2 linked regions of the Caenorhabditis elegans genome follow. The protein of the gene in region 2 binds, or shares a complex with, the protein of the main gene of each other region. Each region holds a gene or a part of one and is shown on either strand. Other genes may lie near its edges.

The links. Proteins that work in one complex are often made in the same cells at the same time.
Region 1: cdk-8 (region 2) and rgr-1 share a complex: the UniProt entries of both Caenorhabditis elegans proteins name them as parts of the mediator complex.

Annotation. Positions count from the first base shown.
Region 1 is NC_003281.10:9,388,577-9,395,805, forward strand, and holds the start of rgr-1 (Mediator of RNA polymerase II transcription subunit 14), read left to right. Parts: upstream 1-5,527; coding exon 5,528-5,671; intron 5,672-5,722; coding exon 5,723-6,803; intron 6,804-6,900; coding exon 6,901-7,229. Other genes in the region: putative transporter slc-17.2, read right to left, coding at 1-677, 750-937, 1,432-1,456; gpr-2 (G-protein regulator 2), read right to left, coding at 2,833-3,053, 3,106-3,713, 3,764-4,264, 4,318-4,565. UniProt on the Caenorhabditis elegans protein: Component of the Mediator complex, a coactivator involved in the regulated transcription of nearly all RNA polymerase II-dependent genes.
Region 2 is NC_003279.8:8,693,206-8,704,065, reverse strand, and holds the start of cdk-8 (Cyclin-dependent kinase 8), read right to left. Parts: upstream 1,601-10,860; 5' UTR 1,505-1,600; coding exon 1,500-1,504; intron 1,451-1,499; coding exon 1,211-1,450; intron 1,087-1,210; coding exon 899-1,086; intron 848-898; coding exon 751-847; intron 702-750; coding exon 566-701; intron 520-565; coding exon 398-519; intron 348-397; coding exon 249-347; intron 1-248. Other genes in the region: tlf-1 (TATA box-binding protein-like 1), read left to right, coding at 2,109-2,146, 2,223-2,349, 2,429-2,539, 2,644-2,725, 3,192-3,307, 3,567-3,803, 3,851-3,946, 3,993-4,271 and 3 more; F39H11.1 (Craniofacial development protein 1), read right to left, coding at 6,566-6,700, 6,750-6,912, 6,988-7,032, 7,080-7,312, 7,361-7,459; pbs-7 (Proteasome subunit beta), read left to right, coding at 7,774-7,805, 7,852-7,957, 8,009-8,187, 8,233-8,344, 8,422-8,703; K07A12.5 (Pre-mRNA-splicing factor SYF2), read left to right, coding at 8,922-8,943, 8,987-9,128, 9,181-9,292, 9,408-9,545, 9,592-9,710, 9,757-9,851, 9,896-10,013, 10,062-10,364 and 1 more; asg-1 (putative ATP synthase subunit g 1, mitochondrial), read right to left, coding at 10,676-10,846. UniProt on the Caenorhabditis elegans protein: Component of the Mediator complex, a coactivator involved in regulated gene transcription of nearly all RNA polymerase II-dependent genes.

The sequences.
Region 1 (7,229 bases), on a different chromosome or scaffold from region 2:
AATGATGGAAGAGATACAAGCATCGTGTATGCTCCCCAATCACCGGCAAAATGTCCAGCCCAGCAAGCCCATACTGCAGGAGAAGTTAGAATTTTGATCCATGGAGTTGATGGCACTTTTCCAGTATCTTTTCCCATTGAAGCCTCGACGGCTGTTACGATGTATTGTTTTTCTTCAGGTGTAATTCGAGGATGGGTAGCTGGTTTGTCAGAGCTAACATACCACCAAACAGCAGTCCAGAGAACACCGAAAACTCCAATGATGTAGAAGATCGACGGCCAGCCACCATCAAATCCGTACTCGCAGAGGAATCCAGAGAGTGGAAGTACAATTACATTTCCGATTTGAGCGCCAGCATATGTAACTCCAGTTAAGACAGATAATTCCAGAGGTGGTCCCCATACAGACCACATTGTGTGCATTGCAGGGAATGTTGCTCCTTGAAGAAATCCGATTGCGGCACGAAGAATAGCCAGAGCATATTCAGATGTTCTGGCAGCGACAGGATTTAGCAGTGTAAGGAGCGCAGATCCAAGAATCGTCACGAATACTACTCGCTTTCCTCCGTAACGTGAAGCTAGATGTCCTCCGATAATTTGACTTCCAATGTATCCATAGAAAAACGATGAAAGAACCATTCCAGTTGTTTGCTTGTCCCAATCGAATTCTCCAATCACCTAAAAAAAGTTGCATGATTCTTTATCATTCGGTTTTCAAATTGTTTTTTTTCATCACTGAATAAACCCTACCGAGCTGTTGCTCTCCACAGGTGTCATTTCCTTTCCACAACGAGAGACCTTCTCCACTCCTGTGTCCGTCTTATTCTCATTAACCATACAAACAACTGCGAACGACATATTCGTACGCATCATGTAGGTGACAAGACATCCAAAAAACATGACCAAGGACAACGCAAAACGCGTGGATGGCACCAGCCCTGCAAAAAAGCGTTTAATCATTTATCTTTTCTTCTTTTTTTTTCTTTTATGAACTTTTTTCGGTTTTCTTCTGGTATCTGTTACACTCTCCGAAAGTCGATCATTAATAAATCATTCGTCTGCAAACTTCAGAACAGTTTGGAGAGTCACGACCAAACTATCAATTTCGGGTGCCTGTCAGGGCTAAATAACATTTAATCTTGTTAAAATTTTTGAAAAGGCTTCGAATAGTACCTGAAAGTTGCAATTTACCGAAAAATTGTTTTAAAAACTATTAACGGCAAACGGCAACTTTCAGGTGCCATTTGAGATTTTTCTCAAGCTTTTCAACAAAATTAAATATTATTTTCGGATGGAAATAACTTTTTATACATTTTAATTTGCCGCACAGATCCGGTGTATGTGTTCAAAATTTTAAATTGTATTTGGTCTTCATAGTTTCTACGTTTTTTCCAAAAAAAACTAAGTGGTTTTTACTTTACGATCAACTCACTCGGTTTGGTAGTAGCCCCTTCCATAATTATTGGCTCGTCGTCGAGAGCTTCTCACTATTTTTCGTATATCGACGAATCCGCTGGGAACCGACTGACAGCCTGAAAACAAAAAATCAGAAAATTCAAGTGATAACAAAAATAATTGAAATATGTTCCTCGATCAAACATATAATGTGGTGAAGAAGATAAGAAATGCGGCAACGTAAAGGAAGAGCCGCCCAAGCGGCAGGCCAACTCAAGAGCTCTCAGGACTAATTGAAATTCGTTGAAAATCGGATTTCACTACTTGGACAACAAGAGGGTGAAACTCAGATGACGTTGTTTGAGATAACTGCTTCTCGCTAAAACAGAATAAGAAGAAAAAACAGAAGGCGCGGTGAGACACATGAGAAACAGAGGGCGGTTATTTGGAGCACGGCTAGCGCGCAAAAGTGATGCAATGTGATGAAGCTGGTAGAAAAATGGAATAACAGAAAGGGAATTTTATAATTGGAAAAAATCACCATACTTTCGTGAAAATATTAAGAGATTTGTGTAAAGTGCCTGACCAGTTAATAATATTTACAATGTTGGGTAAAGAGCGTAGGCATAATTCAAAGAGCACCGCCTCCAAATTACATGTTTTCAGTGGAATCACGCGTTTATATTTACCTAAAACAAATTTTCTTTTAAGCTGACCGATTACCACACTTCTTATACTCCGAAATTTCGTGTTTCTATTGATAAGACGGTCAGCGAAAATGACCAAATATGATGGGAAGAGCATTTTCCCATCAAGATTCTGATATTTTTTGAAAGAAAAGTATTTATAGAAGGAAAAGACTAACGCAATTGAATGAAAAAATAAAGAAAAGTGTGTCAGAGAAAAGAAAAGGTAACCCGATACGACAGTTTTAAGAATTGCAAACTTTACGCCCTCCAATGTCGGAGATTTGAGCGTTCAAAAAAATTGTTCACGTATTTCAAGTAATATCATATTTAGCCGCTCAAAAGTATTTTTAATAGGAGAAAAAACATAAATCATTTCGGGTCTAGGTTTCGCCTAAAAACTGAAGAATACGAAAGGATGCAGGAGAATGGCGCTCGTTCCCTCGGACGCTGGCAGTCTCCATCTCTCTGCGTCTCTTTACTTTCGATATCTTCCGGATTCCGAGGTCACTAACCATGAGCTTTTGAAATGACGTTGGGAGGGCACGTGGGGAAGTTCAGAGAGAATAACAAAGTTCTATAAAAGTATGACTTGACGGATATCGCTAATTGAAAAAAATTAGCTTTACTGACCATCAAATAAAATAAAATTATAATAAAGAACAACCACTAAAATAATAATAACATTTACTTAAAGAAAGTAAAAAATAAATAAAGTTTGATTGTATTATTTGACAGAAAAAATAATGGTCCTATTTGGACGTCATTGTCACATCATCGCTTCGAGTATCATCGCCCTGTATCGAATTTGTAGAATCCAATGACGATTTGCTTTTCTTCGACCTCTTCAGGATCCTATTCATTGTGTGACCATCGAACTTCATCGACTGCACTTTTGTCCAATTGGCACGGAGTCCAGGGAGAATTCTGTGGCTCTTTGTAGTCTTTTTCGATGCCGATGACACTGGACGAGCTGGAAAAATATAAATTTGCATACATTTACGCTTATTTGTAATATTTCTTACGCGGAATGAATCTGGCAGCAGACAGTTCAGTTCTCTGATCATCCATACGCGAGCTCATACTGAAAATGAGATCCATCATGTCTACGGGTTCCTCGTTCTCTTTCTTTTCGATCGCTACTGGTTTCTTCTGGTCTTCAATGATTCCGTTGACAATCATTTCCCAGGTTTCAACATTTGTTGCGTGCTCCAGTTTGACGACGAACTTATTAATCATGTCATTCGAGGATGTCGGATCAGGAGACGAATCAATTGCGAGGCATGCATCTTGATCAGTTGCCGTTTCGCTTCTCTCTTGATTCATCGCCACGTCGATCTGCTCGTAGAACAGTTTGAAACTGCTTTGGTTGATGGTCAGAACACTCCCCAAGATGATAAAATAAGCAGCTTGGCGTCTTTTTCCAAGTGCAATGAGACACTTTGCGATTGTAAGCAACACATCTCCAATGTGTTCGTTCAATCCAAGCTTCCGAATCGATACAAGCGCTTCCAATCCGTAGAGATATGCTTCGTGGAATTCGCCATTTCTCAGCATCTCTTCGGATAGCTTCGACTTATATTTGACTACATCTCGCTCTTTTCCGAATTTCGTGGCGTAGAAGAGAGCACTTCTGTAAAAATAGAATTGACATTTTTATTAATCGTTAAAACTAAAAATTACCTGAGATCTCTGATAATAAAGAAAAGAAGATATGTCTCAGCATAGAGAGCCTTGTCGTAATAGGCGATGTGAACTGCTTCAAACTGGTCTGTTTTGATGGCAAAATCGATGCATTCTTGATACTTGCGACGCGATTCCTCGTATTTTTCGTCGAGTGACAAGCATTTCGCCTCAATTAGCATAATTTTGGTCTCAGACACAGCTCCTTCCGTATTATTCTCGTTGAACAATTTCACGGCTGCAATCTGTTCAGCACATATTGACAAAAGCTTCTTCTTCTCATCTTGATTACTCTCGACGTCTCTTTCACATCCTTCGAGGCACACGGAAGCGAACAAAATTCGAGCTTGACCGATATACTTCTCTCCGTTCTTCTTATTGCTGGTGTAATCAATGAGATCCTCAGCAAACCGTCGAGCCTTGGAGAACTTTTCCATTTTGAGTGCCTGCTGGACGATGCGACGTGTGGAATCACATGCTTCTGGGTAGTTGAAGATCAATCTGAAAAATTAAAGTTATAGAATGCCCAGCCCATTTCCGTTTAATTCACTTACTTGAACATGTTCAACTCATGTTCGAAAAACTCCAAGGCCTTGGCGTCGTGGTTCAAATGCCTGCACACTCTTCCGTAATACATGTAGATTGTACCAAGCAGTTGAAAATTGGAGGTTCCGAACTCCATTGTGTCCTCTAAGCGTCCTTTTCCATCCTCGTATTGTCCCAATTTCATGGCCGTCACCGCGCTTTTCAGCATTGCTTCGATGACTTCATCCTTAGGGCCATCATAATAAGAGACGTCCATTCGTTTTGCGAATGTGGAAACTTCTGAAATAAATCGAAAATTGCGAGCAAAAATAAAAAAATAGAGGAATTTTACGCAAACAGACAAAAATTTCACGCGGATCTGCACGAATACACGAAATATTTAAAACGGGGAAAGTTTCTTCAAATATCTCACGAGGTTTAATAGACTATTACACATTTTGTTTAAAATTTTACAATTTTTCAATAAAACAACCGCTGAAAAACAAATAAACTTGAACAATGACTCGAGAATCTCTGTGGGGAAGTGAAACTTGGCGGTTAACGCGTTGTTTTTTCGCGCGCTCTCAACTTCTAATTTAGCGCCGCTTTCTGATATGTCGTCAAATGTGTTGCCGATGTACGCAAGTACACCATCACGCGCATTTGCACACTCAGTGGAGTTTGCAAACAAATTTTCAAAAATAAATTAAATACTGTTTATTGTTTAATTTTATGCATATTTGTACAATTTGAATGTTATAGTTTGATTAAAACTATTCGAAACATGTAAATAAACTTTAAATTTGTAAATGTGTCGCTTCCCAGACCGTATATTGTGTATTCTTCAAATAAATATGTATTTCGCAGAAACTGTCTTCCCAACTCCGAGCCGCACTGGCGGATAATTCGCCGGCTGCTCCAATATCACCGGCTCCATCTGGCTCGGCCTTGTCACTCGATGAGTCGTCTGGAATTTCAGACCGCGATGTACATTCTTCTCAGGAACAAACGGCACATCTCTCCGAAGTCGATGTAAAATCGATTCATTCATCGGATAGCGAAGATGGTATGCTGCAGTAGAACAAGGAAGATATTTATTTTCTATAATTTCCAGAACCAGCGCAAAATCCCTTACCAGAAGTTCCTGCAAATTGTGGCCCTCCGACGATACCTCTAAATGTTCTATTAGACTTTGCAATTCAACATGTTTACCACGAGATCACAGTTCTTGCGGAATTGATGCAGCGGAAGACAAATGATCAAGGAGAGCAGGAGCGGAAAATGTCTCTTGTACATTTTGCACACGCTACTCGCAGTCAATTTTTGAAACTTGTAGCATTAGTAAAATGGATACGGATTTCGAAGCGAATGGATGTTTGTTATGTAAGCTTAATTCGCTCGATTTCGATCGAAAAAAAAACATTAATTTTCCAGTCTATCGACTACCTTCTCGATCTCCAATCACAATATTTCATCGACACGGCCGATCGATTAGTCGCAATGACTAGGGGAGATCTCGAATTAGCTCGTCTTCCAGAATACCATATTGCGCCAGCTATTGATGTTCTTGTATTAGGAACGTATAATCGAATGCCATCGAAAATCAAAGAAGCTTTCATTCCTCCAGCAAAGATCACACCGAGAGAACAGAAACTCGTCACTTCCCGATTAAATCAGCTCATTGAAAGTCGGCTTTCTCGACTTTCAAGCGGAATCCCACCAAATATAAAAGAAATTCACATCAACAATGGACTTGCAACTTTACTGGTTCCTGGAGAGTTTGAAATCAAGATTACATTGCTCGGTGAAACAGAAATGACAAAGTGGACTCTATTGAATATCAAAATTCTCGTGGAAGACTACGAACTTGGAATGGGACTTCCTCTTGTACATCCATTACAGCTTAATCAGCTTCATGGAGTACTGCAATCTCGGATGAATGTTTCCTTAAATCCTATTAAAGAAGCTTTCTCCTTTTTGCACAGTTTCTGTGTTTCACTACAATTGGATGTTTTGTTTTGTCAAACTTCAAGATTGGCAGCTGGAAGGTTACGTGATAACATTACAATCGAAAAGTATGACCCAAAAGAACGAGTTTTGGTAGTTGGATACTGGGTTAAAAGATCGAAGAGTCGAAGATTAACTGTAGGACAAGTCAAATGTGATGCACAATACAGAGTTCAGATCTATGAAGATCCAAATGACAAGCTAGGTGGACTTAAAGTTCGTCATTTCCCTCATGCTCCTCAGCTCGGACGACTTGATTCTGGAGCTGGAATGTTGTCAATTGATCGACTATTATCAGAAACATATGTGGTCAGATGTAAGGAACGATTGATGCGGTTGAGAAGAATCCTTGAAGCTGCTGAACCAAGATTAGAAGTGAAGATGACTGGAATCTCTGCACCGTCACTTTCTCTTGCTCTCCTACCGGATACCTCTTCAAAGGATGAAATGATGACGGTATCTGTGAATTCATTCTGTGGAAAAGTGCTCTGCAACGTTCACATTCTCAGTGAGTTGTGTCGTTTCAAATTCCAGCATATTAATTTTAAAAAAATACTCTATTTTTTACCAAAATTATAAAAGAAATAAACTTATTCATATTTCAGGTGCTGAACACGAAGATGTCCTGGCTTTTGGAAAAGCTCTCTACAGTAGTCAATGTTCAGCGCACACAATTCAAATGTATCTTAGAAAACTTCGTGTCGCCCTCGTGATAGAACGATATCGACGATCAGTGAAAGCTCTTCCAGTTCGTGAAGTTCAAGAAGCTGAGCTTCTTCCATTTGCAAAGGAATGTCTTGGTGATGCTCCTGCCCAACGAATTATTCTTCAGTTCCTTCGATCTGAAGACTATTATCTGCTTGTCACATTCTCTCCCGATGAAAAAGCAGTTGTTAAGACTCACATTCAACTTTTGGAAGTTGTTGGAGACCGA
Region 2 (10,860 bases):
ACCAACTTTTGAAATCGCGATTTTCAATTGTTTGAATTGCCACCTAAATGAGAACTGCGACCAATCAGCGACTCGTTTTTTAATCTTGGATTTTTAATTCTTTCGCGATTTTTTTTTCCTTTTTTTGTGGTATTTCCTAATTTGAGACTAATTCGGTTTCATTGAAGCCATTCACGCTACTGAAAAAAATAATGTGCCTTTAAGTAATCTATCAAAATAAATTTGAAAACTTTTATATTATAATTTACCCTTCATTTCTAGCATCGCTTAGAAGTCTTTGATGATCCGGCATTTTCTTCATATCAGGCCAATCAGCATCTGATGGGTATCCGAGTAGATGGAATATTCTTTAAAAATTTCGAATAGTTAATGATTTTAATTTCCAAAAAATCTGTACCTTTTCACTTGATCATAGTGATATGGATTTTGTGCCTTGATGTCTTCCTCTTTACAGAAAAATAATGGTTCAGCGGTAAGAAGTTCGGCAAAAATGCATCCGATAGCCCATACGTCAATAGCCTGAGATTATGCATTTTTTCCTTATTAAATAGATTTTTCAACGTACCTTTGTATAATGCTTTGCTCCGAGAAGCAATTCAGGTGCTCTGTACCAGAATGTGACAACTACTGGATCTAATTCAGCCATCGGTTTCAGAGGATTTGCATAGATTCTTGAAAATCCCAAATCAGCAATTTTTACCCTAGAATTATTATTTCATATTATCGCATAAATTTCAAATTCAGTCAAACCTTCCTCTCATGTCAGGTGGTCCATCACCCATTAATAGAATATTTGCTGGTTTGAGATCTCGATGTAGTACCCAGTTTGAATGTAAATAATGCATTCCTGAATATTTTAAAATACAGTTGAGTGAAATTGGATTTTAGAATTTCAAACCTGATAAAATTTGAAACAATATATTTTTGACCATATTCCGTGGCACCATAATTGGGACTTTCTTGCTTTTAGCTGTTCGATGATGTTTGATAACGTGCCAGAGATCGTGTTCAGCATAATCCAATAAAAGCCAGACTTTTTTTTCGTTGGTAAGAAATACACGTTGAAGACAGATTAAATTCGGATGCCTGAAACATTTTTTTTTTTTGAATATCTACTTCAGTTTTTTTTTCGAATTTTAGATTATAAAAAGGGGAAAATCTCGAATTCAATCTTCATTTTAAATTAATATTATTTAATCGGTGAAATTACCTTAATTCTCTGAATAGAGCAATTTCTCTGCATGCAGACATTGAAAATCCTTGTCCCTCAATCATTTTTAATGCGTATTCTTTGTTAGGAAATTGTCCATTTTGCTTTTTCGGAACTGCTTTATAAACTAATCCATATGTTCCTCTGCCGATTTCTTTTGAATTTTCAAAGTAGAAAAGGTCTTCTACTCTCTCTCGACGCTGTGCCAATTGTTTTTTGAAGTTTTCATCAATCATTAATCTGCAATAGGGATTTTCTGATTTATTTATAGTGCAAATTTCCAACTTACGTCATTTTTCAGTTACTACAGCGAATACTACTCAGTCTTTATGCCAGGAAAATCGATGTCCAGAAAAACGAAAATTAAAATTGAAGTGTACGGTAAGGAAGTCCGCAAACACTGCACCCACGTACTAAACACCAAATATCACGACATCTTCGTCGGTCTTCGTTTTCTAGCACTTTTTCTTGTGGCAAATTCTCGCCGAACGTCACTTCTTCTTCCCAAAGAACACAGCGTTAAGACTGAAAAATCAATAAATTAACTAATCAATAAATGCCACATGTCTAACAGACAAATAACTAGGAGGAATGCACATTCAGAGAGGATACTCTGGTTTGGCAGCGAATAACGCTTTCAATCGATCCTGTAACCGCGTTTGCCTCAAATCAGTTTAGAATGAACAAACCGAATATTGTATTTTGGATATTATTTTGTCTGAATTTAAAATAAACTGGTCGTCGGAAATAAATATTTCTTAACTTTTCCAGAATTTTCTAACATAAATCAAAAAATTCTTATGTTCTCACGAAGTCTCGCTCTCTCGTTGTTGCAGATTTTAGCATTTGTCGAGTTTTCAAAAGATAACAACTCAAATTTACAGGCCGATCAGTTCAAATGCAAATGGGTGATCATCAAATGATGGGAAACCAGAGGTATGAGTTGAATTAAAAAATAGCTTGTTCAGTTTTAGTTATTTGGATCAAGAAATCCAATAACAACACTCGAAAGATATTACAGAACTTACGTTCAAAAAGTGATGCCTGCACAAGCTGGTGGTGCAGTATCACAAAATGCCACGTATGTGCAAACGGCAGGAATTCGAACGGTTCATCACGACGGAAACGGACAGCAGAGGGTGAGATTTTGAAGAATATAATCAAATTTTGTTCGAGACAAGACATATGCTTGAATTTATGAATTAAAGTTTATTTCAGATAGTTCAACTACCCCCGGGAGTACGTCAGATTCAGCAAAATGGTGTCGGTCCTGCCTATGTTCGCCAAGTTCCTGGTGGTCAACCAATGCAAGTAAACTTTGGACATCCAGTAAGTCTTTATTATCAGTTTCTCAATCAACATAACAAATTCTAAGAATTGAAACAAAATTTCAAATTCACGAAACTATTTTAATTTTTCAAAAGAAATTGCAGGGAACGATAGCGGGTCGAAATGTTGCAGTTGGTGTTCAAATGCGACCTGTGCAAGGACATAACGTTCAACAAGGTTATCAGAGTAAGTTTTTAATTTTATTTAGAAAATTGATAGTCAATATTTAATTGATGTTATTCAAAACAAAATATTTTTTTTTTTAAATCGGTTTTATTTCAATTTATTTACGGTCTCCGGATGCCGTGTGTTTTATCAATAGAATACAAGTACTACGTATATCTAGAATCGCGTATATGTTTCTGCAATAATTAATTGTTTTATTGGAATAATATTCTAGACACAAATTAACTCTACATTTACATTTCGAATAACTCGATTTCTGATTTTTGAACGATTGAAGTTTCACATATTTTCCAAAAGGAAAAATTAAATATTGATTAAATTTTCACTGTTTTTGCAAACAAAAAAAAATCGAAAACAATCAAAATAATTCTGGAAAATTTCAAACTCGTGTGTTGGGTCTCACATTACGTGTTGTATAAGACATTCTTGTTTGAAAAACTGAAAAGAGTTTTAAATTTAATTCCAGGACAGCAAGTAGCAAATCAAATTCAACAACAAAATCGAGCTGTATTTATGGCACAAAATCAGCAAGGACAACAACAGATAAGCTATGCGCAAGCACAACATCGACAACAACAACAGGTATGTTTCATGATTATCATTTACTATCATTTACTATATATAAAGCGCGTGTCCTTCTGTCCCTATGTAGTTTGATCTCTGATCAGAGCAACGAAATTTTGGGAAACCTTATGCTAAATGCGCAACAGACATCGATCGAGGTCCGCGATAGACACCGTATATCTAATGTGTTTTCTCAAAAAAGTCGGGGGCCGCGCCGTAGGTGCGGTCCACGGCTGGTTCAGATATATTCACCAAAATTAATCAGAGGATATTACAGAATCAACAACAACACCACCAGCAACCACAACATTTTAATCATCCTTCTCAACAAAATCAAATGATTATGCAACATCGTCAACCACAAATGCACCATAATCAGCAACATCAAATGGTTCAACCACAAATGACACGTCATCAGATGGCCCAACACCATGCTCAGCAGCCACATCCGCAGATTTATGTGCCGCGTGACATGAATTTGGCAGTGCCACTGAGAGAACCCTCACCTGAGCCGGTAACAGATGAATGTACATTTTCATGTTTCATATCTACATTTTTCAGATTCCTGTCAAAATTGAGGTTCCAGATGTTCCTCCAGAAGGTACATCGGCTGCCAATGAGGAACCAATGCCAGATGATGGTGATATCGATATTCAGGTACTTTCTAACAGCAATCAATCATCAAAACTTGAAAATATTCCAGATTCGAAATGTTGTTTGTAATTATACACTCCCTTTGCACATTGATCTTCGAAAATTGGCAATGAACACTCATAACGTGACATATGAAAGAGAAAAAGGAGTAATGATGAAACAAAAAAGATCGCCTGGTTGTTATATCAAAGTATATAGTTCTGGAAAAGTATATATTGTTGGTTGCCGGAGTGAGGCGGATTGTAAACGAGCTGCACGTTCAATTGCCAGACATGTTCAGCGAGTTATGGGAAAAACGAAAGAACGAGTTTCGATTAGAAATTATCGAGCAAGTTTTGAAAAGTTTCAATTTATCTATTAAAAAAATTTATCTATTAAAAAAAAAATATTTAAAAAAAGTTCGCCTTCAAGAAGTACAGTAGCTTCCGCCATTTCCGATTTGTTTTTTTTTCTTTTAAAGATGTTTCATTTTTGTTAAAGTTATTACTTGTAAATTTAAATTAAATTGAAGAAAAGTGTAAAAATGTCAGTCGTGCAAACTAGTGTACTAAAATTATTTGACCGTGTATCGTAGTTTCACCAGATTTTTACATGCCTTTTTAAAGGCGCACGGATTTATTCAGAAAGGTCTCGGCACGCAAAATGTTTATGGTAATCTTTCTTTTTTTTTTGAAGTTTGAACATTTGGAGAGGCACCACGGTTTCAAGATCTGGTGGGGTTCCGGATCTACGTTTTGGTGCCAGATCTGGAAAACGTAGAACCGGAATCCACCAGATCTTGAAACCGTGGTGCCCCCATTTGGAAACAGATTTTTTAACAGAATTTTTTTTTAAAGCTGAAAACCGTGCAGTTTCATTGAAAAACGCAAACATTGAAGAAAAAGACTACAATAAACTTTTTGCGCGTCGAGACCCATCTGAAGAAAGTCGTGAGCCTTTAAAGAGCCATTTCAAAATTTGAAAAAAAAAATTACGATACCACGTAGAGTCAGGTTGTCCCATCACGGTGTGATCTACAATAAGTGCGGGTATTTTTGCTCAGAAAAGTGTGACGTCAGCACATTCTTAACCGTGCGACACCAGTTGGAAACTCTACGTCACGTTTCATTTTTTGTAGATCAGACTGTGATGGGACATTCTGACACCACGCGCGATACCGTTTTTGTGTGTTTGTCAATACCATAAAATTTTGCAACTTTAAAATATTTATCTAATTATTAAGTTTATGTGGAATTTAGGTGAACAACGTTCTGGCCACGTGCCGTCTTCCATTCGGAATCAAAATCGAAGAAGTCGCAGCAAAATATCCATCAGAATCCACATATGAGCCTGAACTTTCCGTTGGTCTTGTTTGGAGATCTGTGACACCAAAAGCTACTCTTCGAATTCATACGACTGGCTCAATTACAGTCACTGGAGCTCAATCGGAAGCCGATGTTCTCGAAGTACTCTCAAAGATCTATCCAATTGTTCTAGAATTCCGATGTCTCGAACGAGCCAAAGGAAATGTCGCTGCTCAGAAGAAGAGGAAACGAAAGGCACCTGTTAACAGAGGGTAAAAATTTGTAAAATTCTGGCTTCAATGTAAAAATAAAATAATTTTTTAGACCACCAATCAAACGCGAACGCTTTGATGACAGCAATTATAGAAATTCTGGAGTTATCAATAACCAGGTATGCAAATAAAAAGTGTTTCGGTGGTTTGAAAATAATACAAATTTAATTTTAAAATAACACATTTTTCTTTCAGGTCTATTTCTCTGATGAAGATGAAGATCTGTATGATGAGCTCGATTTAGAAGAATAGTTGTACCTAATTGATGCAGCCTACCCATTCATTGTAATTTTTAAAAAATCTCAATTTGCAATCATTATCTGATTACCTTTCTACATCATCTCGTCATAATTTCTCTAGTTTTAGCTTTCTATCTTCCAGTATATCTTGTTCTTTCAATTGTTCTGTGTGCTTCAAAATTCATGCTTTATCCGCTTTTTTCCTGTTCTTTTCTTTCTCTGTTTGCCGTTACCATCATCAACATCATAAGTCATCATCGAATCAACACAATCTCCTATCCATTTTTTTGTAAAATTAACACAATGATCAGAAAAACAATTCTCGCTTCCTTCTAGCTCTTTCTCTCTCCACATCCCACTATGTGCTCTCTACTTCATGTCTTCATCATGTTCCCCTCAAGCCCAGCAAATCTTAATTTTTCCTTATTTTCCATTATCTATTTTTCCTCATGAATCCCAGTTTTAAAAACAAGTAGCAGATTTTTTTTTGTTCTGAAACAATTCGCAAAAATTCCACAAAAAGTCCTTAAAAACAAACGAGTTCGTATTATAAAACTGTAACCTACCTTTTCCCAAAGTTGTTGTATTTCATTTTAATTATTTTAGAATGTGATTTTTCTACAATTCCCTTTTCATGATTCATCCTTTTTCTAGATTTAGTTATTGTCTCCCTTTACCATTTTTCTCGTTTTTGTCCATTAAATATGTTCATGATTAAATTTCAATGTCCGTATCTTTACAGAAGGTTTATGAATTTTTCAAAGTTACGAATTGTCAAAGAAACCAGAAAATCACAAAAAAGATTCAATTGAAAAAATAAAGAATTATTTACTGTCCAGTGTCCTTACGAGCTGTTGCACGGAACGCTCGTTCTTTTTCAAACTGGCGATTATCAGCTCGGTTTAAGAAGTCCATTTTGTTCAGATAACCGCCTTTCCCTCGGTTATGAGATTCCAAATCTTCCTGAAAAACAAACAATTTATTCAAAAACCTTAAACTTAAAGAAACATACTTTTAAATTATTTTGCGTCGTAAAATCTTTCCAATCTCGATCAGATTTCTCCAAAACAGAAATTTTAGAACGCTTCGACAGTGATTTTGCAGCATCAAGCAAGCCGACTCTTTTCTTTCCGGGTACAATGCTACTTTCAGACGATGTTCCAGCTGTTTCCGTTCTGAAAAAAATTATTAGAAAAATAAGAAAAAGTTGTTTTTAAATTTGTATCAAATAAAAACTCATGTCAACTCACTTTTTCGGATAAACCTTCTGATTTGTAGACTCGTTGGATGCAGATCTGTAAAATACATTTTTAAAAGTTATTTCTACTTGTTTCAAACATACGCTGCTGATTTTGGATACACCCTTTCTTCAGTTTTTGGAATATTCTTGCTTGATGTATCGTTGACAACTGGTTTCGGTGCTAGCCCAGTTAATTCTGCAAATATCGCATCCACATCAACACTTCCTTCAGTACTGTTTGCCTTTTCTGATGTATGGTCGTCACTTTGTTTTTCATTTTTCAGATGTTCAACTTCTTCGTCAATTCCATCTTCGCATTCTTCTTGATCATCGATCTGTTGAGGAGAATGAGCAATAAAAGGGCGATATCTAGGAATGCTTACTTCATCCTTTGGATCAAAATCGGTATCCTTTGTTGGATCGTAATCTTCATCGGACGATGAGTTGTAGTCTTCTTCGTTATTTTTAAGCTCCGAGGTCATTTTTCTGAAACAATTTATATTTTAAATAGTTTCACAATTTCAGTGAGAATTCAAAAGAATAAAATATGAATTAATATATTTATAAAATATGAATTAATTTATATTATAATATTATCTCAAAAAAAGTAGCGCGAGATAATTTTTCTTATTGAAGTACGCAATTGTGCGTGGTATTCAGTGTAAAATTCGACGGAGCGCACATGCTTTATGATGACTTAGCCGCCATTTTTGCATTTCATTGTCGAAATTCACTTCCTTTCATTTTTTCAAAGCACTCCCTTCAAAAACTTCATTTATATTGTTTCAGAACCAAAATGAATGCTCACGACGAAGTCCAGCGCACACTGTAAGTCATTAAACCTATATTCGTTTGAATTAACTCAATTTTTCAGGAATCCTACTTGTACCGGAACATCGGTTATCGCTCTCCAGTATAAAACTGGGGTTGTTGTCCTTACTGATCGAGTTGTTTCCTATGGAAAAATGGCTCGTTACAAGGTTTGAATTTCCGTTCAGCTGAAAGTGGATTTTCATAATATTTGTTTCCAGAATGTTTCTCGTCAATACAAGGTCAATGATAATGTTCTCATTGCCTTCGGAGGAGATCACGCTGACTTCCACTGGCTTCAAAATGTGATCGAGCGTCAGGTTCTTCTCTGGAAGCGCTTCGATCAGGATATTGGACCAAAAGCTCTCCACGGATACCTCACAAGCCTTCTCTACGCCAAGTCTGTTTTCCTAATTAAATTGAAAGTTTAAGTAAAAAATTTCAGACGTTGCAAGATGAACCCAGTGTGGAACACACTTGTTGTCGCCGGAGTCGAAGAGGAGGAGAAGAACAACAAGGAGACTAGCACACCTTTCATCGGTGTCATTACTCAGAAGGTAAACTTGAAAGCGTTAACTTGCCGGATCAGAATCTCATGATTAAATAATCACATAATAATTATTCTAAATTTCAGGGATGCGCATATCAAGTGAAGCACATTGCAACTGGACTTGGAGCGTTCCTCCTCAACCAAGCTGTTGAAGATGAGTGGAGAAAGAAGGGAGAAGACCTCTCCCGTGAAGAGGCAGAAGCCGTGCTTCGCAAATCGCTTGAACTTACTCTCTACCACGACTGCGTCGCTGACAATGAGTTCGAAATCGGACGTGTTGATGCGACAGAAGGTGTCGTTTTGGGTAAAGAAGAGAAGATTATTGGTGACTGGTCGATTGCCGAGACTAACTGTCAATATGAATAAGTTTTCCCCGGTGTGCAGGATGCGTTTCAGTATCTCCATGTTTAACTTATTTGTATCCTTCTTTTCAAAACATTTTACTCTCTCCAACCCACGTTTTCGGTGTAAATTTTATTTATTTTCGCGTGAAGTCGATAAATAAACTTCCATTTAATCCTTCTATTCACGTCTAAGTATTCACACGCATCATTTCACAAGTGCTCGAGTCAAAAATAGCGAGCATGAATTTCTCTGGTTTAAAAAGTATGATGAGTTTTTGGTTTAAAGTAAAATCGAGCGCTTTCAGGTAAACTCCAAAAGCTCAGTTTATCACCATCGCCTGATAAACAGAAATCTGATTATGAAAAGAAACAGGCGAAGAAGATGAGCTACAAAAAGAAGATGCAGCAGCGGTATAAACTGAGTGATGATCAGTATGAAACTCACAAGTAATTAAATAAATTGATGTATATGTAATAACTTATCTGATTTGGTTTCCAGGAAGGATGCTCAGAAACAACTGAAAAATTGGGAAGAATTTCGAAAGGAGCAAGTAGTTGAAATCTTTCATACGCAGTCTCAATACGTTTCGAAATCGAAAAATTCAGACGTGGTAAGCATACAGTATATATATATATATATCTCGCCGCGCAAAGGAAGTGCTTAATTACGGTTTTTACTATCCATCTAAAAAGTTAAAAAGAAATACATTATTTCTTGAAATTCAGCGCCATCCAAAGATGCAACGAGCCAATACGGTTGTCAATCGTCAAGGAGTGAAAGTTGATGTAGAATTTGGACGATTGAAAGAATACTACTTATCCACTTTGGCTCCACAAAAAAAGTTTGTGTCGATTCGTGATCACGTAACATAGAGATTATAGAGAAATTTACTTTAACCATGAACTTTAGGCAGCTCGTGAAAAGGAACTGGACGCTCTTCGTAAGAAACAGAAAATCAGTTTGGAGCAAAGGAAAGATAAACAGGACAACATAAAAAAGTCCCAAGCAGAGTACGATCAGATGAAAAGGTTTCAATGGGTCGAATGGTTTTATGTAGAAATTATCATATTTTAGCTTATACGCTGCCCCTGTCGATCCCAAGCAAACAAAAGTGGAAACAATGGAGCAAAAAGAAGTTTTAGAGCCAACAGCCCCGATGGAGAAATTCGGTAAAACTACGAAACAATACAGAAATCGGAGTGTTTATTTTCAGTTGTGAATACCACTGACGACAAAAGAGCCCTGTTCCCAGCCAGTTGGTATCAACAACCGATTTCCCGTTCGCAATTGAAGAAAGGAAAGATGATTTATTGGATGGCAAAAGACGAAGAGTAATTTTCGTGGCTTGCATCCGTTGGATCTTAATATTTGAATTTCAGAGAGGATATGACGTTGGACGATGATCCAGAGGGAAAGTACACGGTTACTGCTGAAAAGTTGATTGAGACAATGACTGCTGGGGGGAAAGTTAAACATGCTGGAATAACAGAACCACCTAGCAACACAGCAAACACCATCATGTCCGAGTCCTTGGCATCAATTAATGCGAGATACAAGAAGAGTTGTGAAAGAAATGCTGTTTTCATGAATACCTTGCACGGTACTATTGAATTCAACAAGAAACAAGTATCTGTAGATAAAACCCTCTCTACAAGTTCAATAAGCCAGGATGATGCGACCGAGTAAGAATTTCGAAACTGATTTTTCTCTAACGAGTTTTATTTTTAGCGCTCCGAATCAAATCATTTTTGCTCCAACAATCACTTCTCATGTTTTCAAAGGCCGATCTCTGAAAAGACAGTATGCAGTGAAAAATAAGGCACTTGAAACTTTTGAGGAAGATCGGAAGGATTACACTCGAGAGGCTGGAGAAGAAACTAGTGGATTGTAATTTTTTGTATTGAACTAGAAAAATAAAGCCTTAATTTCTTTTATCTAACAAACGTTGAAGAAAAAACACATATTTTCACAAATGAATATGCTTATCGATGTATTAAGCTTCGAGGGCAGCGAGTCTCTTCTTTTCGGCAACCTTAGCCTTTGTATCCTTCGAGACATAATTGGCTGGAACAATGTACCCGAAAATGTAGCGACGTCCAATCATTTCTCCGACAAAGAACCAAAAGACTACCTCGAGGGCAACTGCCGAGTAGACGAGACTTTCCTGAAGTTATTTTT